Rattus norvegicus: one gene and its partners. The protein of the gene in region 1 interacts with the protein of each later gene in a pairwise test. Links are inferred from orthologs where the notes say so. Each region holds a gene or a part of one and is shown in the gene's direction. Other genes may lie near its edges. The genes, in order: Ldoc1, Fam107a, Smarcd1, Atf4, Hdac4, Fxr2 and Plekhf2.

The links.
Region 2: the proteins of Ldoc1 (region 1) and Fam107a interact in a two-hybrid assay, tested with the Homo sapiens proteins (2 studies listed by BioGRID and IntAct). The two-hybrid records come from large-scale screens. The link is inferred for Rattus norvegicus from reciprocal best matches to the Homo sapiens genes LDOC1 and FAM107A.
Region 3: the proteins of Ldoc1 (region 1) and Smarcd1 interact in binary tests that used the Homo sapiens proteins (3 or more experiments, as listed by UniProt). The two-hybrid records come from large-scale screens. The link is inferred for Rattus norvegicus from reciprocal best matches to the Homo sapiens genes LDOC1 and SMARCD1.
Region 4: the proteins of Ldoc1 (region 1) and Atf4 interact in binary tests that used the Homo sapiens proteins (3 or more experiments, as listed by UniProt). The link is inferred for Rattus norvegicus from reciprocal best matches to the Homo sapiens genes LDOC1 and ATF4.
Region 5: the proteins of Ldoc1 (region 1) and Hdac4 interact in binary tests that used the Homo sapiens proteins (3 or more experiments, as listed by UniProt). The two-hybrid records come from large-scale screens. The link is inferred for Rattus norvegicus from reciprocal best matches to the Homo sapiens genes LDOC1 and HDAC4.
Region 6: the proteins of Ldoc1 (region 1) and Fxr2 interact in binary tests that used the Homo sapiens proteins (3 or more experiments, as listed by UniProt). The two-hybrid records come from large-scale screens. The link is inferred for Rattus norvegicus from reciprocal best matches to the Homo sapiens genes LDOC1 and FXR2.
Region 7: the proteins of Ldoc1 (region 1) and Plekhf2 interact in binary tests that used the Homo sapiens proteins (3 or more experiments, as listed by UniProt). The two-hybrid records come from large-scale screens. The link is inferred for Rattus norvegicus from reciprocal best matches to the Homo sapiens genes LDOC1 and PLEKHF2.

What each region holds. Positions count from the first base shown.
Region 1 is NC_086039.1:145,106,267-145,109,766, forward strand, and holds part of Ldoc1 (protein LDOC1 precursor), read left to right. Parts: intron 1-1,688; exon of another isoform or gene 1,689-1,789; intron 1,790-3,000; 5' UTR 3,001-3,101; coding exon 3,102-3,500. UniProt on the Homo sapiens protein: May have an important role in the development and/or progression of some cancers.
Region 2 is NC_086033.1:19,045,110-19,049,380, forward strand, and holds the start of Fam107a (actin-associated protein FAM107A), read left to right. Parts: upstream 1-1,471; 5' UTR 1,472-1,520; exon of another isoform or gene 1,521-1,672; intron 1,673-4,271. UniProt on the Homo sapiens protein: Stress-inducible actin-binding protein that plays a role in synaptic and cognitive functions by modulating actin filamentous (F-actin) dynamics. Mediates polymerization of globular actin to F-actin. Also binds to, stabilizes and bundles F-actin.
Region 3 is NC_086025.1:132,711,627-132,715,126, forward strand, and holds part of Smarcd1 (SWI/SNF-related matrix-associated actin-dependent regulator of chromatin subfamily D member 1), read left to right. Parts: intron 1-26; coding exon 27-143; intron 144-1,201; coding exon 1,202-1,303; intron 1,304-1,535; coding exon 1,536-1,697; intron 1,698-1,817; coding exon 1,818-1,915; intron 1,916-3,074; coding exon 3,075-3,210; intron 3,211-3,500. UniProt on the Homo sapiens protein: Involved in transcriptional activation and repression of select genes by chromatin remodeling (alteration of DNA-nucleosome topology).
Region 4 is NC_086025.1:113,683,407-113,687,239, forward strand, and holds Atf4 (cyclic AMP-dependent transcription factor ATF-4), read left to right. Parts: upstream 1-1,274; 5' UTR 1,275-1,458; intron 1,459-1,997; 5' UTR 1,998-2,089; coding exon 2,090-2,309; intron 2,310-2,384; coding exon of another isoform or gene 2,385-2,419; coding exon 2,420-3,243; 3' UTR 3,244-3,333; downstream 3,334-3,833. UniProt on the Homo sapiens protein: Transcription factor that binds the cAMP response element (CRE) (consensus: 5'-GTGACGT[AC][AG]-3') and displays two biological functions, as regulator of metabolic and redox processes under normal cellular conditions, and as master transcription factor during integrated stress response (ISR).
Region 5 is NC_086027.1:100,194,838-100,199,088, reverse strand, and holds the start of Hdac4 (histone deacetylase 4), read left to right. Parts: upstream 1-1,451; 5' UTR 1,452-1,529; exon of another isoform or gene 1,530-1,788; intron 1,789-4,251. UniProt on the Homo sapiens protein: Responsible for the deacetylation of lysine residues on the N-terminal part of the core histones (H2A, H2B, H3 and H4).
Region 6 is NC_086028.1:54,859,669-54,863,168, forward strand, and holds part of Fxr2 (RNA-binding protein FXR2), read left to right. Parts: intron 1-1,000; coding exon 1,001-1,117; intron 1,118-3,500. UniProt on the Homo sapiens protein: mRNA-binding protein that acts as a regulator of mRNAs translation and/or stability, and which is required for adult hippocampal neurogenesis. Specifically binds to AU-rich elements (AREs) in the 3'-UTR of target mRNAs.
Region 7 is NC_086023.1:28,890,792-28,893,723, reverse strand, and holds part of Plekhf2 (pleckstrin homology domain-containing family F member 2), read left to right. Parts: intron 1-2,746; 5' UTR 2,747-2,760; coding exon 2,761-2,932. UniProt on the Homo sapiens protein: May play a role in early endosome fusion upstream of RAB5, hence regulating receptor trafficking and fluid-phase transport. Enhances cellular sensitivity to TNF-induced apoptosis.

The sequences.
Region 1 (3,500 bases):
ATTGATACCCAACAAGGCATCCACTACATATGTTGATGGAGCCATAAATCCATCCCTGTGTACTCTTGGGAAGGTGGTTTAGTTTCTGGGAGCTCTGGGGGTTTCTGATTGGTTGATATTGTTGCTCTTCTTGTGGGGTTGCAAACACCTTCAGCTCCTTCAGTCTTTTCTCTAACTCCTCCATTGCTGACCCTGTTCTCAGTTCAATGGTTGGCTGCTAGCAACCATCTCTGTATTTGTCAGGCTCTGGCTGAGCCTCTCAGTAGACAGCTATATCAGGCTCCCGTCAGCATGCTTCTTCTTGGCATCTGTAATATTGTCTAGGTCTGGTGTCTGTATATGGGATGGATACCCCAGATGGGGCAGTGTCATCTAGAGGTTCTTAAGTCTTCCAGATTTACCTCCTAGATAAAGCAGTCCTTGGGTATGCTTAGTAAGATGGTGACATAGCTTTGGATCTGTAGAGTGGCCATGATCTTTGTCTTACACATGAACTTCTGCAAGTTGTTCTCTGAACTCTGCATACACTGCATCCCCAACGAAGTATGAGCACATGCTTGTGTCAAAAAAGTACATGGAATTTCATAAAATGTTCTCCAAAGCTACTTTTTACTGTGAGAGGCATATCTTAATGCCAGTGTGCTATTTATACCTCTCTGGTAACCAAGAGACCAAGACATATCTTTTTATGTTTATTTAAAGAAATTTGACAGTCTGGCTGCTAGGTATATACTGAGACAGAAGTTGGAGCATAGGAAAGAGGACATAGCAAGAAACTACACATCACCAGCCCTTAGGCCTGTAATTTAAACCACCATAATAAAGTTTATGAGCCTGAGAAGAGTCACAGGGACTACCTTTCTTTGTCTTTGACACCTTTACACAGATCTAAAGGAACAGTCAAGGCCAGTTAATGGGGAGAAAGGGAATGAGGAAATCTACACGTACTCTTGAACAGGGTAAATGGTAGCAGGAAGTCTGATGGATCTTAACAAAGGTGTGTGAGCCATATGTCAACCAAATGATGGTTAACTAACCACTGAATTCTATATATGTTGTCCACTGGTACTGAGTTTGAATTTGCTTCACCACTGCTCTCTGTTTGACATCCTCATCTGCCTGTCTTTTCTAACTCAAACCTTGGAAATGCTGCTTTACAAAAATCACTGCTTAGCTCTTGGTATTTTTTAACAGACCATTTCCTGCTTTCCAGGATCAAAGGGCTCCCCAGAGAGATTACTGGTGTTTGTCTTATCTGCTTTACTTCATCCTGTTTTTGCAGAAGCAGGACAAAGGTAGTCTTGGCCTCCAAAATGTTCTAATTTTGTTGAAAGACAGATAGCCAGCAGTGGGATTGTTTTGAGGTTGTTTTCTGTATGCCTTGTACCTAAGCTATGTGGTGTCTTCAGCTAATGGCTTTTACCATCTAGTTATGATGCACAACCAAGAGCAGTTGCAGTAACATGTATTGTTTTATGGGCCTCTGGGTCCTCCCTGACCAATAACTGTTAAGGAGGTATCCCATGCCTGGCACTGAAATTTTCATTTAATAACCCATGTTTTCAAGGAGTAGCACTATCTATCCATAATTCCATTTTATGCATTATATTTTATTATTTAGCTTACAAATAATTGGTTTCTAGTAAGCTTCTTTGCGTATTCTCACCTGTACTCTCTCTTCTCCCCAGTGCTCCTATCCCACTTAAAAGAGCTTCTTTTCTTGTGAGAGCATTCATAGCACAGAAGAAGACAAGGACTCACAATTAGGGAAGCTCCTCCTCTGGGCTAGGTATGTTTTGCAGGCACTAAGGTCAGAGAAGCTGGCAAAGCCAAGCCCCTCTGCTGTACTGTCTTACATTTGAAAGTGGAGGCAGACGATAATGTTGACATTGAATATGATGGATACTATATAGATAATTGAAATGTGATGGGAGCTATAAATTGTTGATAGAGAAGACAATTCACATATAGATGAGATAGTTGAAGAACCTAACAGGAGGCCATGTGAAGACAGTAAGGAGAAGCAGGACCTTGTAAGTTATGACCAAGAGTTTGCTTTTTACTGGGGGAGGCAGAGAGGGAATAACTACTGGAGGGCCTTGAACAGGGGAGTGAAAGGGTATACTCACCTTGTAAAGTGTTCTGGGCTACTTACTGAAGAGAGTACATGCTGCAAAAGAGGAAGGCTGGCAGCTAAAGGATTAGATGTAGCCAACTGAGCAAAGCAGGCTGGGATCAGGGTAGCGGATAGAACCAGAACTGATTGAATTCGGAGACATGGCTTTAAAAGCAAGCCCAATATGTATCAACTCAAGGATCCAGAAAGACGCTTAGTCATCTACAACTAGTCACGCTCAAAATAGGTGAACAGAATTATTTTTAAAGTGCTCATGTTAGTTAACTACTCAGGAACAAGTGCACTGATAAACAGGACGTGAAAAGAATCAAAGATAGGATGTTTACAAGTAGACACCCTGTATATAATTTCCAAATCGTCTTATCGAAATTGTTTCTCAAAGAGAAGTCACTTTGTTGAGTATTATTTATTTATTTAATGAAAGACTTTTAAACTCAGAACCCAGATGGCCTCCTGCACTGTGGCCCTCAGAGTCAACTTTATTTCTCCGAGTGAGATTTAAATGGGCAAGGAAATGTGTTAAGAAGCATCAGATCAGGCTTACTGGAGAAAAGTTTCAGTTGGAGCAGGCCAGCCCTGAGGGCTGAGCATCTGTCCTCCACTGTCTTAAGCTTTGCTCCTCCCCTCCCTTCTTCCAGGTGGAAGAACTGGCGGGAGCCCGCAGCGATGCTCCCTGGGTCACGCCCTTCTCCTCCGCCTCATCCACTCTGGCCACCAGTCCCACCCTGGCCACGCCCCCACGCCATCCCGCACCCCTCCCAGCCACACCTTCCTCCCCGCACTGCGCTAGCGCGCTGGTTCCTAAAGTGACCTTGTGGGTGGAACTTCTGCCACTTGCTGGGACCCCTCTATTTATTGCCCAGGGTCAGCGCTACTCTGAGGACACGCACTTCCTGCTCTGTCTCTCTGTGCAACTCCGCGGACCCGATCCGAGCCGAGCCCAAGACCTTCCAAGCGGTTAACCATGGTGGAGCAGCTGCTGATACTTCTGTATGCTCTTCTGGTGAGGCACCGCGCCCTGTGCATCCAGAACAACCAGCTCCTGAAGCAGCTGCGAATACTGGTGTGTGAGCGGGCCAGGCTGCTGCGCCAGGTACGTCTGCCAAGCTGTCCAGTGCCCTATCCCTCACGGTTTAGTGGCGAGAGCGGCCGGCTCCCCGAGTTTGTTGTGCAGACCATGTCTTACATGCTTGTGAATGAGGAGCACTTCTGCAACGACGCCATGAAAGTGGCATTCTTGATCAGCCTCCTGTCCGGGGAAGCCGAGGAGTGGGTGATGCCTTACATCGAGTCCAATAGCTACATCCTTGGTGATTATCGGGCCTTTGTTAATGAGATGAAGCAGTATTTTGGCTGGGATACC
Region 2 (4,271 bases), on another chromosome or scaffold:
GTTGACATTTTCTTGTATGTCTTTTTATCTACTGTCACACACACACACTACACACACATGCACACCACACACACACACACACACACACACACACACACACACACACACACACACACACACACACTGAATGTGGATCCCCTGAGAACAGGGGTACTGTCTCTCTCTGTTGCTTTCCCATCATACGCCCACTTAGAACATGCCAGGAAATATACACATACATATTAGATATTGACTACATGAACAGATCCTAGGGCCAAAATGAACTCAAACTGCGTGTGGAATATGTCTGCCTACCTGTGATGTGTGTGACCTGAACCTCATCGCTCTTGACCGACCAAAGTTCCATGAGAAAGTAAACTGGGGTACAGGCCTAGTCTCACTGGCAGAGGCTGGTTTCCTCAGTTGGGGGACAGAGAATAATGCCAAACGACAGAATGGCCCAAGGCTCGAGCAGTAGCTAGTTCAGAGGTGCAGAGAAGGCCTTTGATCTACAAGCACCTAGATTGGCTTTGGGGTTCTGCCCAAGCCCACAGCTTCTCTTTGCGCACACTCTCATTGTGGCCAGGCACAGGCATGCACATTGGGGCTCTGCCTTTAGCACATGACAGTTCTCTGAAGGCTGCTTTAATGAACACCATCTCATTGAGGTCACGCGCAGCCAACACACACAGGAAAGCCAAAGTACAGAAGGGACTAGGATCAGAGTGGGCTAGGTACAAATCTATCCGCTGCCCTTTTCCTGGACTACATCCTGCTGGTTCTTCTGTGGAAATTAATTGTGTGAAGTTTGTTTGTTTGTTTGTTTGTTTGTTTGTTTGAGATAGGGTTTCTCTGTGTAGTCCTGGCTATCCTGGAACTCTCTCTCTCTGTAGACCATGCTGGCCTTGAACACAGAGATCTACCTCCTTCTGCCTCCCAAATGCTCTGGCTGTCCATGTGCCCAACACATTTGTAGATGACCACTTCACTTCACAATGTTTCTTACACCTAAGCCTGCAGGGCTGCCAAGAACTGTCTGGGTATAGTTCTCTCCCTGCTAGTATCCAAGAGCCAAGTTCTAAAGAATCCCTCACTGCAGCAGGAAGCGTGGTTCCCCTCCCCTCCTTTGGGGAAGTGCTGGAATTCCCTCCCATACAAACAAGGGAAATTCCTCCTCAGAAGCCAGGAGCCGCCTTGTTCAGAACAAAGCTTGGTGTGAGTCATATTCCTCATCAATCTGACAACACGGGTATTTATTGGTGCCTCTCAATCAGGGTGGCTTGGACATGGTGTTCTGAGTCTCGGACACGGCCACTCACCAAGTAAAATAACGGTTTCTATAGCAACAGTTCTTTTTCATTGCTATCAGAATAAATGGGAATGCAAAACTGCCTCCCATCTTGGGGGTTTAAGGCCCGCCCTTTGGGGGTGGCTGCCTCAGCCATCTGGGACTGGCTTAGCACTCCCTAAGTCTGAAACCTGCAGAGGACCTCGCAGCCCAGACACTGCCAAGGAGCTCACAGCCCCGGACCTGTAGAGAAGTAAGACTCTGATCTATTCTGCTTCACATCTGTTAGGCTGAGTGTGTTCTAGGAGAAGGTGGTGGGAAGGAGATGACCTAAGAGCATCGGAGCAAGCTGTCCCAGCAACTAAGCCCTTCAAAATGTAGGTACTGGGACCCTGCCTTACTGAGGTGAGAAGAGGCAGGGATGTGAAGTGGGGGTGGGAGATAGAGGGTTAAGTAGGCTCTCAGTTACAACCCGGCAGTCTGGTTGACCTTTTACTTCTAAACACTGAGAGGAATTTAACATCTGCTACAGCCTCTCTTAAATCCATCATCACACAGTAGGGGTATGTAGGGTCAGCAAGGAGGGTTCACTTAATAGAGGACAGATAGACACAATCGGCAGATAGTCCAGGTTCTATATGCAATGAGAAAAGCACAGAACTTGGATTTGGGTACCAAAGCTCAGCTCGGATTCTGGCTACCTCACACACTGGCTATGTGATCTGGAGAAATCAGACGACGTCTCTGAGGTCTGTTCCTAAGAAGGGGTTGCCCACCTTCTCAGTTTATTGAGAGTTTTGAGTCGGAAACTAGACGAATAGCTCATTACTCAGCCTGTACTGAGAATGCAGGCTATGGGTGATTCCCGCCTTGCCGATGGACTTGGCTTCATCACGTGGTACACGGCCAGTCTGGGACTAGAGAAATCAGGGATCCAGGGATCAGGGGATTGCCTGTCACTAGGAAGCTGCTATTAGTGGGATGGGCTCTAAATTTGAAACAGTCCTCCCACACACATGGGTTTCTGGGTGCTTGGGTCCTGATGGCTTCCTCACTGTGAAGTCTGGCAACCCCTGCTGTGATTTTTCCCTGAGCCAGCTGCCAGGTGCAACAGCTGTCATCAGATCACAAGGATAGCAGTATGGGACATCCACTCACGCTGCTTCCTGCTCAACAGCAGGGCACAATCCCCAGCCTTGCTATGGACCCTATAGGCCTCACCCTTCAAATCCAACCTTTCTTTTCTCTGGTGAAACGGATCCAGGGGACCAAGACCTGAAGTAGTCTGGAGCCTTCTTGCCTAAATGGATAGGTGGCTCCAAGACGAAGAAGATTGACCTGAGTCTGCAGGGAGACCTAGAGCTGTTGCCAAATGCGTTCTTAGGTTACTGGCCAGCCATTGAGCTACAAATGCATACCACCCACAGGGAGGAGAGAGCAAGCAGGACATGTGGCAGCCAGCTTGTCATTTTTCTGAATGTTTCTCCTTCTCTTGCCAGTGCTTCTCAAAGCCCCCCTGCTGATGCTGAACCAGAAAGGTTTAGAGGAACTGGGGGTTGAAACCTGGCCACAGGCCTGACAGGAAAAAGCTGCTTCAAGCAGCAGGGCAGTGCTTGCGTTTCTCACTGTCTGGTTCTCTGGCCATCATGTTCTCAGCCTTCCTCTTCACAGGGGTTTATTGAGTATACAGAGAGAGAGAGAGCAAAGGGCTGTAAATTGGTTCTGTTGAGTCAAAAACATGCCATTCCTAGGAGACAGTTCTATGGTAGAAAGAGTACTAGGTTTGGAGTCCAACAATCCTGGCTTTGCTAAGTACTTGGCGTGTACCTTAGCTTGATAAGCCCTGATTTCTTCAACTACAAAATGAGTTGCCTTCAAGATAATCATGAGAGTCAGACCAAGTCCCGTGCTCACTCCAAAACATGCAGGACAAGAAAGAGGTTCACAGTCTGCCTACTCAGCCAGGTAGTCTACAAACTACAGTGTGCACACCACAAGGTCTCACATTCTAATGACCTGAGGGGACGGGAGGTGGCCATGATCTCCACTGGTCAGAGGCTGAGAGCGCAGGAGCTGTTTGCTTGAGGCCACACAAGCTAAGATCATGTGTTACATTGTTTCTTTTGCTTTAATCCCTGAACACTTTGTGGACCCAGTGTCATGTGTTGTAACTGATAGACCAGAAACACAATAAGAACATTGAAGATAGAGGGAATGCAGTCAGAAAGTGACAAGAAGACCATAAGGATTCAGCCCAGTTGGTCAAGAACTTACCCAGCATGCACAAAGCCCTGAGATGGATCGATGATACCCCATAAATGGGACATGGTGGCTATGCCTATAGTGTTAGCCCTTGGGAGGTGGAAGCAGGCCAATCAAGAGTTCAAGGTCACCCTTGGCTATGTAACAAGTTTGAGGCCAACTGGGGATATGTGAAACCCTCCTAAAAAGGGGAGGGGGATGAAAGGATCTTGTGCAGTAACCAGGTTCCTGCAGCTGTTCTCAGTGTAAACTTCACCCTGTAGCAAGAGTATCATTCTCCTCCGGCTCTCTCCTCACTGCCCAGGAAAGACCAGGGATTGCTATCGAAGCTACTGTTCCCACCAGTCTGTGCACACCCAGAACCAGACTCAGTCTTTAGGAAGGAACCCTGGGACCTTTTGGGTTACCAACAGAACCTGTGAAGAATGAGAGGCCCCGGTCTCTCTTCTGTATTCTTATCCCTGTGACCCTTCGACCCTCTTAGAGACATACAGACCACTCATTTAGCCAAAACCTTCTGGTCCCAGAGCTCTGTGCCCAACAGAACCTCCTCAGTCACCATGATTCTCTGTAGGATTGAGTAGGGGGCCTACTTCTGTCCTTCTGCTCTGTCACAGGGCTCAGGCTGCTCTGGGAGGCAGGATTCGGGAAGTTTGACCCGTCAGGTGGGTGTTAGACTGTGGGAAGCTGCGGGACACTGCTCCAGGGTAGGGAAGCACCGTCTGAGGACAGGACGCTGCAG
Region 3 (3,500 bases), on another chromosome or scaffold:
CCTCCCCCTCCCCATCTCTTTTCTAGTCAGCCTTGTCCAAATATGATGCCACCAAGCAAAAGAGAAAGTTCTCTTCCTTTTTTAAGTCCTTGGTGATCGAACTGGACAAAGACCTCTATGGGCCAGACAACCATCTGGTAGAAGTGAGTAGTTCTGCCTTCCAGGCCTTAACTTTTTTGGGGGATGATGGGTTTGGGGACCAAGCTTGAACAGATTAGCCCAGGTATGGGGTTCCGCCGTTGCAGTTTGCACATTGACCTCCAGGCGGCGCTAGCCGTACTGAGTTGGGACCCAGGAGCTCTTGCTATCTGACTTGACCACTTGTTTCTGTCCTGACTACTGCCCCCCAGAGAAAATTCTGGTAGAGTCCTCTTACACTCTCGGCTGTCTCTGCATCTTGCTTACAAGTGTTGGTGGGCTGTAGTTGCTGACATGCTTTATTTTCCTGATCGTCGCTGCTGTAGTTAATGGGTTGACTGATGGAGTACTAGTGATACTAGAGCCTAGGTTATCGATCTGTATCTTCCTTTTGGTCCCTGATCCTTTAGATTTATGTCTCAGATAACCAGAAATACTAAACAGCTCCTGGGTGTGCAGTGTTTCGATGACTGTGTTAGCTGTGAGCAGCAGTGTTTTGGGGACGTGAACCCAGAGCGGTCTAGTGTACGTGTGAACTTAACCTGCCCTTTCTTTACCACTGTAGCTGCAGCCCCTTAACTCCAACCACTAAGAGACATGGGAAGTAAGTCAGAGTCAGTAGAAATCTGTAAAGCGCTTGACTTGATAGCAGTAGAATAGCTAAGACTGGACTAGAGTCAGCTCAAGCACTGGCTCTGTTACATAGCGAATGTAACATGTCATAGACATGGATGTAACATGTCATAGACATGGGTAGCTGGCCCTCAGTAAACTGACACTGTCTTAGGTTCCTGTTCCATGTATAATATTCATTTTGTGGGTAAATTTATTACTGGAAATTCAAGCCATTTTAAATGCAGTCATCTCAAACAGGGTTGGAAAGTTCTGCTTTTGTAGACAATAATTCCAAAGCCATCTATGTTTTTTAGAGATGCCTGGAGCTATTGCTCTTCCCCAGTAGCCACAGTAATGGAAGTTGAATGTTCAGTTATTACAGACGCTCTTCCCTCCCACCCCAGCTCTTCCTCTGGAAGAGTACCCCCTGACACCTTCCTCTCTGTAGTGGCACAGGACCGCCACTACCCAGGAGACAGACGGCTTCCAGGTGAAGCGACCAGGAGATGTGAATGTACGGTGCACTGTCCTGCTGATGCTGGATTACCAGGTACTCTTGGGAGGTGTGGAGAGTCCAGCTTTCCTGGCCGCAGTGTATGAGTGTCTGACTACTCAGGAATGCTCTTCCACTAGAGCGACAGCAGCATGTGTCTTCGTCCTCTGTAACCCTGCCGTCCAGATTTACTAATGTCCGTTAGATTGAGTCCGTTGCTGTACTAAATACCCCGAAAGACACATGGATCCATCTCATTAGCTTCATCTACACTCTTGGTTCTCTGCAGCCCCCCCAGTTTAAATTAGACCCTCGCCTGGCTCGCCTCTTGGGCATCCACACCCAGACACGTCCAGTGATCATCCAGGCACTGTGGCAATATATTAAAACACATAAGCTCCAGGACCCTCACGAGCGAGAGTTTGTTATCTGTGACAAGTACCTCCAGCAGGTATGTAAGGCACATTCTATTTCGAGAGTCTAATTGCACTGAAAGTGCCGATTTGTAATGCCTCTCTCTCTCTCTCTCTCTCTCTCTCTCTCTCTCTCTCTCTCTCTCTCTCTCTCTCAGATCTTTGAATCTCAGCGGATGAAGTTCTCAGAGATCCCTCAGCGGCTGCATGCCCTGCTCATGCCACCAGAACCCATCATCATTAATCACGTCATCAGGTGAGTGTGCTGGACCCTGCCCTCGGGAGCCTGCTCGTCCCGTTATCAGATGTCCAGAGGTCTCCTTAGATGCACTTGCTCTATTTCTGTTTAGATTACGTAAGCTCATTACTGTGAAAACCGATAATGGCACCAACCTCTGCTTGCCTGTTACCTGCTCACCTTTGCAGAGTTTATGCCTGAAGGTTACTGGTGTTTGGGGTGGTTGCACACTCTTCTCTGGCTAAAGCTAGAGTGTTAGTGGCTGGACATCAGCCAGCACTGTCACAGCAGGGCTCCACTTCCCGCGGGAGATGCAGATTGTCACTGTGGTGGGAGTCAGCAGTCATCTTTTTATGAAAGGAGGGGCTTCCAGTCAGACTCCCACTCTTGCTTTGTTTTCTCATAATTTGGAAGATAAAGAGCCCTGCGCCTGTCAGACGCCTGCTCTTTGCCCTCTTTGTTCCAGTTACTCCGGAAAGACTGAGTTTCCCTAGTCCCTGAGCCCCTCACCTGTAGTCCCTCTATAGCTTGTACATCGCGTCCACAGAAACTGGAGTCCTGTTCTTTTTGTTGCTGTTTTTTTTTTTCCGACAAGAGTCTGTGTAATCCTGGCTGTCCTGAAACTCACTCTGTGGACCAGGCTCCCCTCAAACTCATAGAGGTCCACCTGCGTCTGCCTCCTGTGTGCTGGGATTAAAGTCCATTGCACGGACTCCTGTCTTTAAAAGTTTTCACAAAATGCCTTTGGTGCTATTTGAACTTTATGACTTTCTTAAAACCAAGCTCAGCCCAACAAGATGGTTCAGCTGGTTAAAGGCACTAGCTGCCTAGCCTGACAACCTGACATCAGCCCTGGGAAACACACACACACACACACACACACACACACAGAGAATGAATATATGGGAATGTACTGAAAACCAAATTTATTGAGTTACAAGTTGTTACTCATAGAGGCAGGCTGGACCGTAGGTTAAATCTGTTTGAAGTAAGGCAGTAAGGCATCTGGAGATACAACTCCATACAGCTCTCCGAAGGAAGACGTTGAGCATCTCTGCTGTGCACTTTGACCTTTTGCAGTCGCTTCCTTTTCCTCTCATCCCTGGACCATCTTCTGACGTTGGTACGTAGGTCTCAGAAAAAGCCATTTACTGAACTCTGCTACTTTCCTCCCCAGTGTTGACCCAAATGACCAGAAAAAGACAGCGTGCTACGACATTGATGTGGAAGTGGATGACACTTTGAAGACCCAGATGAACTCTTTCCTGCTGTCCACTGCCAGCCAGCAGGAGATCGCTACTCTAGACAACAAGGTCGGGGTCTCTGTCCCACCGTCCATCATAGCTCCCAGCTGCCTTTTGCTTTTCGTTTTTAACTAAAAAATATGTTGATACCCAGAACTTGTCAGGCTGTCGGTAACGTTTAGTGATAAGTGGAGGCAGGTTACATACATGCATTTAGATTCTGCCTATTACATTTTGTTTTTGTTTTTAGCATTTTGAGTGCATCTGTCCCTTGTAGAGTAGGCTGGCCTCAAATGCATGATGATTCTTCTACGTCATGTTCAACAGTGCTGGGGTTATAGACACGAGCCATGGCGGCT
Region 4 (3,833 bases), on another chromosome or scaffold:
AATCAAGGATGACCTTGAACCATGGTGCCCGAGTGCTAGGATTGTGTGTACTGGAGTACTTGGCTTGCAAATAATTACTGAGCAGTAAGGGGCGGGCACTGTGCCAATTGAGTGGTATTTGTATGAGTCACTTAAAAAGACGTGGAAACTCAAAAGATTGCAGGCTGGAGTTGGGAAGAGGGCCTCTCAGCACTTCCAAAACAGCATCCTTTATGGTGAGTTGTCCTTGACCAGTACTTGGGGCTTCCAACCACTTAAGCAGCTGCTCACTCACCAGGATGACTTCTTGGTAAGGCTATACCAGGAAGTTAAGACTTGGGAGTTAATCAGAACTACTCTAGGGCTTGAGATCCAACTGAATAAAACACAATATTAAGGGAACTGACCCTATACAAACCAGCAGTGATGGGCATATTTTAGAGTAGGTTAGATCTAAGGTTAGGTATATTTTCCCAGTACAGGATTCAGAGGAAAGATGCAGGGCTGGAGGAACCGGAGTATCTCCCAATAAGGCCCCAACATGAACGCCCTGTCTCAAAGTGCGGTCCCTGGACTGACAGGATTGGACCAGGTAACTCCAGAGGACCTTTCTATATGCCTAAAGCTCTGCCCATTTGGTTCTGAGAACAACAAATACAGGGAAAGAGGGCTTTCAGCCCAAGTGTCACTCCTGGAAAGCTGTTTGCTCCGTGCTGGACCAAAGCTGCCCGGGAGCGATGCCGGAGAGAGCAACTACATTGGGGTGACCTCTGATGAGTCGGTAGCTGTAAGAGTCTGGTACCCGGAACCTCTGGTGGCTCTTCCCGATATTAGTGCTCCTAGGGCGCCCAGGTTCAGAGCCAATAGAAACTTAAGGTTTAGATGACTCGTCACGCCTGGGCCAATCAGCTCGACGCGCGCTCCTACGGCGTCTCGCGTGATAACCAGGCAGCTTTGGCTTTGACCGTCATAGCTTTGGTTAGGTGTCTCTCCACGCCCTGTAAGACACCGGAAGTTCCGTAACGAGCGATCCCTCCGCACTCCGGAACGTGACTTCAGTTGGTCGCAAACCTATAAAGTAGTGCACTTTTCTTCCTTCATGGGGCCTTCAGGATACTCTGTAACGCCCCAGTTACTCCCCGAGCACAGCGGAGAAGGGTTTGGACGGGCCAGAGCGTCAATGGGATAGGGTTAGGTGGAGCGGCGGCGGGATCACGTGACCACGGTGGGAGGATACGGGGTGTACTGCGTCCCTCACCGATTCTATAAAAGGCGGGTTTAGGGCGTGTCGCCGCCATTTCTGCTTGCTCTGTGGTAGATGTCTCTCTGTACGCTGTTCCTTTCCTCTTCCCCTCCCGCAGGGCTTGCGGCCACCATGGCGTATTAGAGGCAGCAGAGCCTGCGGCAGCGTTGGCCTTTGCAGCGGCGGCAGCAGCACCAGGCTCTGCAGCGGCAACCCCCACCGGCTTAAGCCATGGCGTGAGTATTGGGCCGACTGCGCGGGCGTGTGCTTTGCTGTGTTTGGGTGCGGCCTGGGCGCGTTGACCAGCATACGCGGCTTTACAAGCGGCCAGACGCGTCGGCCTTGTTTGGGTGGCCCCGCAACGCCGGCGCACACGGGGAGGGTTGGGCAGGCGGCGTGGAGGGAGTAGTGCCTAAAACCCTGCTACTTCCTCTTCGTCCTCTCTTAACTTAGTCGTCTCGCGCCCCCCCGGGTTCCCGGTGTCATTCTGCGAACGTGGCGAGGCCAAGATGGCGGTGGGGCGGGGGGGGGGTGTGAGTCACGGGGGCGGGGCGCGACGGCCTTGGCCGTATTAGGACTTGAGGACAAGCTGCTTCCTCCGGGTGGCCGGTGAAGCAAAGCTAAGCCTCCATCTTGTGCAACCCGAGCTGGCGGCTGGGGAAGCTTACACAATGGCCTTGAGCCCACGTGCTCTCCATTTAGAAGCTTTTGGGATTTTGTCATCCAGCATCCTAGATAGAAAGATGATTGAACTTGCTTTTGGATCCTTATGCAGGCTCTTCACGAAACCCAGCAGCAGCGTTGCTGTAACGGACAAAGATACCTTCGAGTTAAGCACATTCCTCGATACCAGCAAATCCCTACAACATGACCGAGATGAGCTTCCTGAACAGCGAAGTGTTGGCGGGGGACTTAATGTCCCCCTTCGACCAGTCGGGTTTGGGGGCTGAAGAAAGCCTAGGTCTCTTAGATGACTATCTGGAGGTGGCCAAGCACTTCAAACCTCATGGGTTCTCCAGCGACAAGGCGGGCTCCTCAGAATGGCTGGCTATGGATGGGTTGGTCAGTGCCTCAGACACCGGCAAGGGTGAGTAGGGAGGACACCTGCACCAGTGTGCTCTTTTCATGTGGGTTTGGTGTTCTAAAGGTTTTCTGCCTCTAGTATGAACCGTTCTCTCCTGAAATTTTTTTCCCCAGAGGATGCCTTTTCCGGGACAGATTGGATGTTGGAGAAAATGGACCTGAAAGAGTTTGACTTCGATGCTCTGTTTCGAATGGATGACCTGGAAACCATGCCAGATGAGCTTTTGGCCACGTTGGATGACACATGTGATCTTTTTGCCCCTCTAGTCCAAGAGACTAATAAGGAGCCCCCTCAGACAGTGAACCCAATTGGCCATCTCCCAGAAAGTGTAATAAAAGTCGACCAGGCTGCCCCCTTTACATTCTTGCAGCCTCTTCCCTGTTCCCCAGGGTTTCTGTCTTCCACTCCAGATCATTCCTTTAGTTTAGAGCTGGGAAGTGAGGTTGATATCTCTGAAGGAGATAGGAAGCCTGACTCTGCTGCTTATATTACTCTAACCCCTCAGTGTGTAAAGGAGGAAGACACTCCCTCTGATAGTGACAGTGGCATCTGTATGAGCCCTGAGTCCTACCTGGGCTCTCCCCAACACAGCCCTTCCACCTCCAGGGCCCCACCAGACAGTCTGCCTTCTCCAGGTGTTCCTCGTGGTTCTCGACCCAAACCTTATGACCCACCTGGAGTTAGTGTGACAGCTAAAGTGAAGACTGAAAAGTTGGATAAGAAGCTGAAAAAGATGGAGCAAAACAAGACAGCAGCTACTAGGTACCGCCAGAAGAAGAGGGCTGAGCAGGAAGCCCTCACTGGCGAGTGTAAAGAGCTAGAAAAGAAGAACGAGGCTCTGAAAGAGAAGGCAGATTCTCTCGCCAAAGAGATTCAGTATCTAAAAGACCTGATAGAAGAGGTCCGTAAGGCAAGGGGGAAGAAGAGAGTTCCTTAATAGGGTAGTCAGGTGCTTTGTGCTTGTACATAGTCTTGTGATGCTGTGTTTGCTGTAATAAATTATTTTGTAGTGAAAGTAGCCATGGAAGTTTTCTGTGTCATTCTTTCTAATAGACTGCACAAGGTCTGGGTTGAATACGATAGCTACCTGGATGAGTTGAGCTGTTCAGGTAGTGAGACAGGTAAAGACTAGCTGGAGGGAGGGGGCTCTGGGTTAGTGAGGGCCAGCCCAGAATTGCACCTGTTCATACTGGCCTTGTGCCAGATACCTGCTGTGTAAGTACCTAGATAAGGTACAGTCCTTGAACACAAAGAGGATTAGGTTTCTCTTAGGCTTAAGGGATACAGCTACTATTTCCTGTGACAGGTGGCAAGCCCCACTCCAACCCTTCAGTTTGTTACTACAGATCCTCCCAAGGCGAGGTAAAAAGCCTACCATCACCCTCAACATTATTCCATTTGGCCCAGGGGCAGCTTAATCCAGCACAAGGATATGGTGGGGGGAGGAAGGGCCTGAGTGACAGCGGGGCAGAAACTGGTGGAGGCCCTTGGAGACAATGACTAACCTTCACTTGGCAGATGTTCTTT
Region 5 (4,251 bases), on another chromosome or scaffold:
GTAACTTTTGTTCAGGTTCGTATTCATCAGTACTTACTTCGTATTTACTCAGTATTCATCAAATCTCTGATTATTGCACATCTTTATCCTTTCAAGTACTTCTGAACTTCATGTTTCATCTAAATGTTAGCAGGCTGCAGATCCTGCATTATTTTGTATGTAAATTTGGTAGTGTACTTTTCTATAAGCAGCTGCACTGGCACTCCTAAGTGCGGTCATTTTCTTCTACTCTTTTTGATTCCACAATTCATCCCTTGGCTTCGCAGCTGAGCTATCCTAGCGTCTGAATTTCTCCCAATGAACGAAGCTCTCTAGTTCACTATTACCCTGAGATAATGAAAAGAATCTATTGCATTTTGCGAATTGTTTTCATCCACATACCTTCAATTATCCCCCAGTCACGGATCAAAAAATACTATTCGGTCTCTATTCAATTCCTACAAGTCAAGGCCTAGTAGACAGGCCAGCATCCTAGGACAGTCAGACCATGTAGGGTGGACCAGATGCTCTCTCCTTCGTTCTAGATGTGAGATTCTGGAAATACCATGCACACAGGATGAGAAATTGCACTACTCTCCTGATGAAAGGTAATGGACCCAGGGGCGTCAGAAGCATGATCTTTCATGCCCATCCACACCCGGGTACGCCACTTATAGGTGCTTGACCCAGGTCTAGAAGAACCCCAGCAAAGAAGGGGTGGGTCTCAGCAAACCGGGACGCGGTGGCGGCGACCCAAAGCCTACACCTCCGCCACAGCAACGGTCCCTGAATTCCCAGTTCCCACGGCCACGCAAGGGCCCATAGTCACAGCCGCACCCCCAAGCGGCGCGCCTGCCCCGGGGCAGGGCGGGGCCCGCCGCGCCTGCGCACTCCCTCTGGGCTCGGCGTCCCCCGCACGCAGCCCACGTGACCTGTGCCTTGCCCAAGATGGAGGTTGCAGCCAGGCCTGACCGGGCCCCCGTCACAGTCTGCGCTCTTGCGCGCCCCCTTAGAGCATGAGACATGAACTCAGGCACACTATATTGACCCGGGCAGCGCCGCGGGCTGCCGAGGAGGTCTGTCAACAGCATCAGTCAGTACGTGCACCAGCTCCCTGCTCTTTCTCCACAGCGAAGCTCTCAGAGCTAGCGCCTGGAGAGTCCTCGGTACGCCCCGCTCACTAGTATTGACAAGGCCGGGAGCCAATGGGGTTTGTAACTTTTGAGAGAGGCCGATCGAAGGCGGAGCCCCTTTGCAGCGCCCGCGAAGCGGGGGTGGCTGTTGGGCTATTGTAGGGCGGACTTAGGACTCTCGGACCAATGGAAGAGCAACTGAATTCTTGGAGGCGGGGCCGAGCCGTAATTGACGCTTTCTTCATTAGAAACCAGGCAGGGGGCGGGGCCCACGGGGGGAGGTGACGCAAAGCCGTTGCAGCCAATGGCTGGTGGGCCGACGGCGGGAGGGGCGGGGTTGGAGCGCCTGACGGGCGTAGGGCGCGGCCTATCCCCGCGCGGCTCTGCGCTCGAGGGGGAGCAGCATCATGGTTCAACGTGGGTCAATTTTTTGTGAATGAGGAGGGGAGGTTGTGGGGCCGCTGCCGCGGAGCACCATCCCCGCCGCCGCCCGAGCCCGAGCCCGCGCGCCTGCTCGCGCCGCCGCCGTCGCCGCGCCGCCTCACGCCCGGCCCGCTCAACGCGACTGCTGTCGCCGTCGCCGCCCGAGCCCGCCCGCCCGCCGGCGGCGGCGCAGGCTGAGGAGATGCGGCTCGGAGCGCCCGAGCAGGGCTAGACGCGGCCCGCCGCCGCCGCGGTAAGCCACCGGCCGTCATTGTCCGCGCCGCCCGGTTGCTGGCGGCAGGTGGACGCCCGGCCCCGCCGAGGCCTCGGGGCCCTGCGCCGCGGGCTGGCGGGCGGGAGAGCGGCCTGCGCCGGCGGGCGGGCAGGTGGGCGCGCGGGGGCGGGGGCCGGGGCGTTTATGTAACTTTGTCAGCCTGTGAGTTTGCAGAAAACGCCCCTCGGCGGCGGCGGGCGGCGGGGCGGGGGCCGCGGCTGGGCCCGGACGGTCGTTGGGCTGGCGAGAAGCTGCGCTAGCCCGGGAGACGACCCGGTGTCCACCCTGAGCGAGCGTTCCGAAGGCACGGCTGTAGCCCACACCGCCGGAGTCGGTCGGAAAGGCCGGGTGTGGAACCCGTGTTCTCCTTTAATGCACACGGAGAATTTGTTAATAACTTGCAGCCGCTGATAGCAGTGTTTTGGTTATTGCATGCTGTAAATTGACCTGCTGTGACACGATTTTCAAATAAAGCGTCGCAGAAATTAAACTTAAGTTATTTTAGAACTAATGACTTTCTTAACTAAATCCTAATTGCATTACTGTAGAGACCTACCTAATTGCTTTCCGAGAGCCACTCTGCCTGCTCGGGGAGGAAGGAAAGGCCTGTGTAGTCACTTTGCCTCCCTGCTTTTCTCTGCTCAGGCGTTTCTGCCTGTTCCCACAAACCACCTAAGCATTTAAGGCCTGCGGAGTATTAACGTGTAAACAGCCATGGCCCTGTCGCACTTTGGGGCTAGGGGGATGCTGGCGGCTTGCACCTTGACCTGGTTTCGGTTTTTCCTCCGTGATATGATCGAGGTTGCCAGGAGTTTTAATTGCTTCTGATAATTCCGTGCATTATTTCAGGACCGGCTTGATGAAAGCTAGTGTGGTGGTTTCAAAATCCATCCAGAAAGAAGGTGGTGGTGGTGGTGGTGGTGGTGGTGGTGGTGGTGGTGGTGGTGGTGGTGGTGGTGGTGGTGGTGGTAGAACGCTTGTGAGAGGCAAGGAGGTTGAATTAAGAAAACTCAGCTGCTTCTACACAAATATACACTATAGCAGTTACAAGGCAGCAAAAGTTATTGCAGAATTTTGCAGTCTCTATGGCAACACAATTACTCCATTATAATTGGAAATGCAAAATGCCACCCAGTTAGAAGTTTCATCAGAATGGAGTTTTGGATATCAAAAAAATATGCGAGATTTAGTTAAAAATTCTCATTTTTCCCCAGGTAGCTTCTGCAGCTCTAGTCTAGGTTCAATTGTCTATTTTTAAGACCCATTCGCTTTCCCAGATCTGCCACTCCTCGGGATCTGTGGCATCTTTCCCCAGAAGAACTCCCCGTTTGTGTGGGAGGGAAGTATTTTCATGCTTTAAAAACACACACCCGACACACTGTAAGACTTCTATGGCTTTCTGTGTTCTGGCTTTTCTTTTAAAGATCAAATGCCTTCCTGAAGAGCAGTAATCACCCAGAAGAGGCTGGGTTTGCTAGAAGGCCGAGGTAACACTGCCCCCTTTAGGGGTCTGCCGGCTGCTTACCGGGTATCTGAGAGCCCTGAGGGGGAGAGAATGACTGTGGACTGCAGAGAGGCCTGGAAAGCCTAGGGACCAAGGACAGATGTGACCAAAGCAGCCCTAGCAAGAACATTCTGTGGTTAGCAGCGTCAGGGAGCTGGGCAGCATATAAAGCCCCCAGGTGGCACCTTTGCAGAAGTCAGGGGCTGCTGCTGTGCGAGGTGGCAAGAGAACATGGCACTCTTCACGGGGCTCCTGGCACCTAGCTTGACTTTGGTTTCGAAGCTGTGTTAGGATGATGCCCCTCTTGATGTTTACCAGAAGAGCTCTGGTGCTGGAAGTTTCCACACATCGTGGGGCTGCTGCAGCTTAATTTCGTTATAACCCTTTCCTTTTAACTACTGCATATTTTTGCCCAGTAATCGACTTCCATTTTCCAGCCTCATTGTGAGGTTTCAATGCAGCATGAATGGCTTTGAATTCCAATCCTTTGATGTTGGGGGTGGCACCAAAGGAAAGGAGACTTTGTGCCGTCCTAATTGCCAGAGCAGAAGAAAATTTCATCACTCCTGTCGAGCCTCGTCCATGCCATTTTCTATTGAAAACGGCTGGTTTTTCAGAACTCTGAAGCTACCATAAGTAATACATTAATACCTGACGTGGGGAACCAGGGAGATGCAGAAATGAGAGACACCTGCTGCACAGGGAGATTGGGGGTGGGGCTCAGGCCCAAGACCAGGGTTTTTGATGTCTCTGGGCCCTGGGGTGACTGAGCAGGCTGAATCCAGAGTTGAGCTCATGTCCCATTGGTTGAAACCCAGCCTTGGGGAGGGGTCCCAAGGAGATTTTTGGGAATGGCTTTGTTTTGATCTCCAGTGACCATCTTGTGTCCTGCTGTTCATCCACCTCTGGGCATTAAGTGTGACACTGACCTTCGAGGT
Region 6 (3,500 bases), on another chromosome or scaffold:
TGTCAGTATTTAGCTATTCAGTTTCTATGTGACTAACAATGGTTTTCACGTAGCCTACCTCATTTCTTTTATGTTTCCTTTTTTTTTTCTTCTTCTTCTTCTTTTTTCCCTTTTCTTTTTTTTCGGAGCTGGGGACCGAACCCAAGGCCTTGTGCTTGCTAGGCAAGCGCTCTACCACTGAGCTAAATCCCCAACCCCTTATGTTTCCTTTGAGACAAGTTTACTCTTCTTGTTTACTCTTGGCTGGCCTGTTACTCACTAAAGCTGCCCTTGAGTTTGTGACACTTTTCCTGCTTTACCTTCCCTAGTTTTGAGGTAGGCATGACCACCTTTTTTTCCCCTTTTTTCTATTTTTCCTTTTAAGAATATATACATCATTTTCTGTAGGTCAGAAGAGGTCACCAGATGTCATAGGTTGAACTCAGGACCTCTGGAAGAGCAGTCAGTGCTCTTAACCACTGAGCCATCCCTTCAGCCCATGCTACCACCTTATTTTAAACTTCATTTCTTGCCAGGTGGTGATGGTGTACGCCTTTAATCCCAACACTCAGGAAGCAGGCAGAGGCAGGCGGATCTCTGTGAGTTCAAGGCCAGCCTGGTCTACAGAGAGTTCCAGGACAGCCACGGCTACACAGGGAAAACCCTGTCTTGAAAAACAAACAAAAATCCAACTTCATTTCTTGACACCTGCCCTTTTTCAGGGACTCTGACATTCTGATGCCAAGTCCCTAATGCTTCCCTGGTGTGTATTTTGCTTTTTTTTTTTTTTTTTTTTTATTTTATGTGTGTTGCTGGTTTGCCTAGATGTGTGTCTGCGTGAGGGTGTCCGATCTCTTGGAATTGAAGTTACAGACAAGTGAACTGCCATGTAGGTGCTTAGAATTGCACCTAGCTCCTCTGCCAAAGCAGTCAGTTCTCTTAACCTCTAAGCCACTTGTCTTAGGGTTCCGTCTCTGAGCCATGTATTTTGCTTTTATACATCCTGTTCATCATTCCTCAGTCAACCACAGAAGCCCCTGTGAAGAGGGCATCTTTGCTGGGTGACATGCATTTCCGAAGCCTTCGTACCAAATTGCTGCTCATGTCCCGCAATGAAGAAGCTACTAAGCACCTAGAGGTAAGTTTTGGCTGCTGTTTCTCATAATAATAATAATAAAATGTTCTTTCCTTTTTCTTTTCCTTTTGTTTTTGAAACACATACACAAAAGCTGCTAGGCCATTAATCCTATTTTATCTCATAATTTTCAGAGGACAGTATTCTATCATGGTTTTGGTATGGTTTTAAAAAGTTTGATTTTGTTTCTGTTGTAGGTTTTTGTTTTTGAGAGATTCTCTGTATAGCCCTGACTGTCCTAGAACTCAAAAGAAATCCACATGTCTCTGACCCTGGAGTGCTGAGATTAATGGCATGTACTACCACTGCCCAGCAATGTTGCTTTGTAACAGGGTCTCACTGGTCTCCTGGCCTAGAATTCTTAGTGTTTTACTGCTGAGAACAGACACCATGACCAAAACAACTCATACAAGGACAAAATTTAACTGGGGCTGGCTTCCAGGTTTAGAGGTTCAGTCCATTATCATCAAGGCTGGAACATGGCAGTGTCCAGGCAGACATGGTGCAGGGGGAGCTGAGAGTTCATCTTCATCTGAAGGCTGCTAGTGGAGGGAAGACTGGCTTTCAGGCAGCTAGGAAGAAGCCCACGACATACCCCACTCCAAGCAAGACTACACTTCTTTTTTTTTTTGGTTCTTTTTTTCGGAGCTGGGGACCGAACCCAGGGCCTTGCGCTTCCTAGGTAAGCGCTCTACCACTGAGCTAAATCCCCAGCCCCAAGACTACACTTCTAAAAAATTTTTTTTTTTCCCTAGAGCTGGGGACCAAACCCAGGGCCTTGTGCTTGCTAAGCAAGTGCTCTACCACGCTAAATCCCCAACCCCAAGGCTACACTCCTAATAGGGTGGCCACTCCCTGCCAGAGCATATACAAACTGTCACATTTCCACTCCCTGGCCCCATAGGCTTGTTCAAACACATGAGTCTTTGGGGGTCATACCTACACATAGCATAATAAAAGATACATTTAGGGGGTTGGGGATTTAGCTCAGTGGTAGAGCGCTTGCCTAGCAAGCGCAAGGCCCTGAGTTCAGTCCCCACCTCCGAAAAAAAAAATACATTTAGTCCAACTTCCAAAGTCCCCATAGTCTATAGCAGTCTCAACAGTGTTAAAAGTCCAAAGTTCAAGGTCTCTTCTGAGATTTATCCACTCACTTAACCTTAATCCCCAAAGAAAGACTGGAAATGAGCCAGGCAAACTCCAAACCCTGCATCTCCATGTCTGATCTCAATGTGGTCTTCAGATCTCCAACTCCTTTTCATCTTTGTTGACTGCAACAAACTTCTTTCTCCTGGGCTGGTTCCATTCCCTGTTAGCAGCTTTCCTCAGCAGATAGCCCATGGCTCTGGCTCTCTAACGCCCCATCCATTACCAAGTACAGCTTTGAGGTACAACCTTGGCTATCTCTAGAATATAGCTTCTTTGTGCTCTCAGAAAACACTCCCCAGAAGATTTCACCTCAGTGATGCTGGTCTCCTTCCTATCTATCTATCTATCTATCTATCTATCTATCTATCTATCTCTATCTATCCATTCATTCACTCACTCACTCACTCATTCATTCAAAGTACACTGTAGCTAGGTAGCTTGCTTGCTTCTTTCTTTCTCTTTCTTTCAAGTACACTGTAGCTGTCTTCAGACACGCCAGAAGAGGGCATCAGATCCCATTACAGATGGTTGTGAGCCACCATGTGGCTGCTGGGAATTGAACTCAGGACCTCTGGAAGAATAGCTAATGCTCTTTTTTTTTTTTTTTTTTTTTTGGAGCTGGGGACCGAACCCAGGGCCTTGCGCTTCCAAGGTAAGCGCTCTACCACTGAGCTAAATCCCCAGCCCACTAATGCTCTTAACCATTGAGCCATCTCTCCGGCCTAGTGCTGGTCTCTTCTTAGTCACCTCTAATTTCTTAGTTCTAGCTAACCAGCATCAATTTCCCAGTAGTTTCCTCTTGACTACAAAGCCAGATACATATGACTGAAGTTGCCAAAGTTCTGCTGCTTGCTGGGGCTGAAACATGGCCCCCTTGTTCTGTTACATCATCACCATCACCAGCTTTTGGTTTTCTAACTTCTTTTTTTTTTTTTTTTTTTTAAGATTTATTTATTATATATATAAGTACACTGTAGCTGTCTTCAGACACACCAGTAGAGGGCATCTGATCCCATTACAGATGGTTGTGAGCCACCATGTGGTTGCAGGGATTTGAATTCAGGACCTCTGGAAGAGTAGTCAGTGCTCTTAACCACTGAGCCATCTCTCCAGCCCAGGAACTTGCTCTGTAGATTGATCTTGAACTCAGATCTCCTGGGATTAAAGGCGTGTACCACCATGCCTGAACCTAAACTTAGCTGGGGTGGGATCTTGTCCCAAGGTCACCCACTCCCTT
Region 7 (2,932 bases), on another chromosome or scaffold:
CTCACTCAGCTTCCTGAATGAGTTAGGAAGGATACTAAATGTATATTACTCTACATGCCTTTTTTTAAACAGCCATTTTATGACTTGATTTATATTTACTTATTGATTTGGCAGAATGAATTATTTTCACCTAACACCATCATTATTATCATTGGTTTTCGAGACAGGCTGGCTGTCCTGGAATTCACTCTGTAGACCTTGTTGGCGTCAAACTCAGAGAGATTCACCTGCCTCTGCCTCCTGGGCGCTGGGATTAAAGGCGTGCACTCCCACTCCCCATCTTCATTTACCCAACATTATTACATGAAAGAGTAAAGGGAATATGTCTAGTAGGCATTGGTCGTGTGTGGGTTTTTTCCCCTTTCATGATTGAGGTTGTGAAATAACTCACCTTTATAGTAATAGGAAGATCTGGATCCTAGGAGAGATTTTTAAGTTAATGTTGTTTCTCTATAATATGATTCAAATCTTGAAGTTTCATTTTCTCTCAGCTAGTAAAATATAGCACTGATAAGTTTGAACATAAATACAGACTTTTGTTCCGTTTTCTTACCTGCAGTCAGCCTATCCCTTTACAGTGCATGTTAGCAGTGATTTTCTACCAGGGAGAACTCTTAGTGACAGGCCAGGGAAGCCTAGACTCTTCCTGTTGATTGGAAAAGCAAATTCACCAAATTTAGTTTGCTCAAGTATCGAGTACTTCTTTGTTTTAGTATCCCAGTCCTTTACTTAGACCTTTCTTCAGTAATCTGCTGTGCTGGTTATTAGACTGTGTGGTTGTGAAAAGAAGGCAGGCGTTTAGAGCGTCTTTTTGGCTGCATGGACTGAGGGAGTCGTGGGGCTGGCTGCATTCTAGGCAGTGTTCTGCCTTGCTGTGTGGTTTGTTCCAGCAGGTGCTGGAGACTGAAGCAGGGCTCCACCGCTGAGCTCGGTGCAGGCTGCACTGTTTGTTTCCGAGGTCACTTCCCAGGGTTCACAGCCTTGTCCCCTGTTTTCTCTAACACTCAGTTCACAGGAGCTCACTTTAAAGTATTGATCCGGAGACGCAGTAGTCAGCTGTGGGGTTGACGCAGTAGTTTGCAGGCTCTGACTTAGTGGTAGAACTTGGTGTAAATGGGAATCCAGCCGGCCCACTGTTTATGTAGGGTCAGTGTTTAAAGACAGAAAGTACCTTGACTGAGATGGCTGCTGCTGCTGCTGCTGCTGCTGCTTCTTTTGTAAACCAGACCTTTTGGCTCATAGTTTATTGGGGTTTTTTTCCCCTTCTGTAGCCCATCGGATTTGAATATTGGTCTTTAGTAATGTCAGAAGCCGTAAGTATGAGTAAAAAATAAAGTAAATTCTGCCAGGCATAGTCCACATGTCTTTAACTTCAGGCAGAGGTCTCCGAGCTCCACACCAGCCAGGTCTGCACAGTGAAACCTGTCTAGGAAGGAAGGAAGGAAGGTCAGACATGAGTCTGTGAGGATGAGATTAGACGTTCTCATTGTCTGCAGGAAGAACAATGGTCTTGACAGGTGGGTCTGCTCTCCATTGTAAATAGATAGGAGGATCCTTTGTCGTCTAGGTCTGCTTCTTCCCCCAGTATCACATTTTAACAGATGGGAAGCGTATCCTATCCCACTGAGTGTGTTTAAGACATGCATGGACAGTGTAAATGAGGTTCTTGTCAGAATAGGACGGTTTTTCTTCCTAGTCCTTTAGAGTCTGGAATTCGTTCCCAAGATCATGTTAAAGATGGCAATTAGATGATCTCTTTTAGGCTTCACTGCAGCCAGTGGTGGGCATGGATTTCAGTCCTTTGGTAAAGAAGTGGGACAAACATGGAGGATGGTTTTTTGTTGCCATTAGGTGTGTTAGAGGAGAGATGCTAACTACGATTTGAAGGGTGATTAAGAGGTAGCTGGAGTTATAAGTTGTAAGGAAAACAGTGAAATCCACTTACACAGAGTAATGTTTGCTTCAAATGCTGTGTTTTAGGCAAGGAATGACTTAGGTTGAGGTGAAGAGAAGTCCAGTAATAGCTGGATGCGGTGACAAATGCCTATTGTTCTGGTACTCAGGAGTCTGAGGTAGGGCATGGCAAGTCAGGACCAGCTTGGGCTGAATAGTATAAGAGCCAATCTCAAAAACAAAACAGTTAAAACCAAAAGCCAACCTTACACATGATGCTAACGGTTACAGATTTTAAAGATCCAGGGAATCACTTCAAGTGACAGCAGGAACAACCAAGCATTTTAGAGATGGCTGCCTACACATTGACTCAGGAGGTGAGGCTGGCAGCAGTTGGGAGAGCATTGGGGGAATCCAGGTGAGGACATTAGGGCCGAGGCTCCGGAGTTATGGGCGGCTTCTTGGGAAAGCTGGAGTTGTGGGTTTTAAGTGTTCTTTGGATTCTGTTCTCCAGAATCCCGCTGAGGTTCAGTTTCATGGAGCCAGGTTATCTTGTGGAATTAACTTGTTTTTGATTGTCCCGTTGTTTTACTTGTGCAGGGTATAAATGACCCACACTGTGATCTCACTTGAAGTAGAGGCAGGAGGACTGTGTTCTAGGCCTACCGGGGCTGCCCGGGAAGACTCAGCAGGTTTTACGCACAGTTTAGCATGTTAGTGATTATTTTAGAAGGAAAGAAAACAAGATTACTTGCCTTTGGAAAAATCAGTGCCTTGGTAGATGACATTTTGTTAATCCCTTATAGGAATGTATACTTTGCGTGTGCTGATTTCTTTTCTTTTTCCCCTAAAGGTTATTAGCAAAAGATGGTGGATCGCCTGGCGAACAGTGAAGCAAACACCAGACGCATAAGTATTGTGGAGAGCTGTTTCGGGGCAGCCGGTCAGCCCTTGACCATCCCTGGGCGGGTGCTTATTGGAGAAGGAGTATTGACTAAGCTGTGCAGAAAGAAGCCGAAAGCAAGGCAGTTTTTCTTAT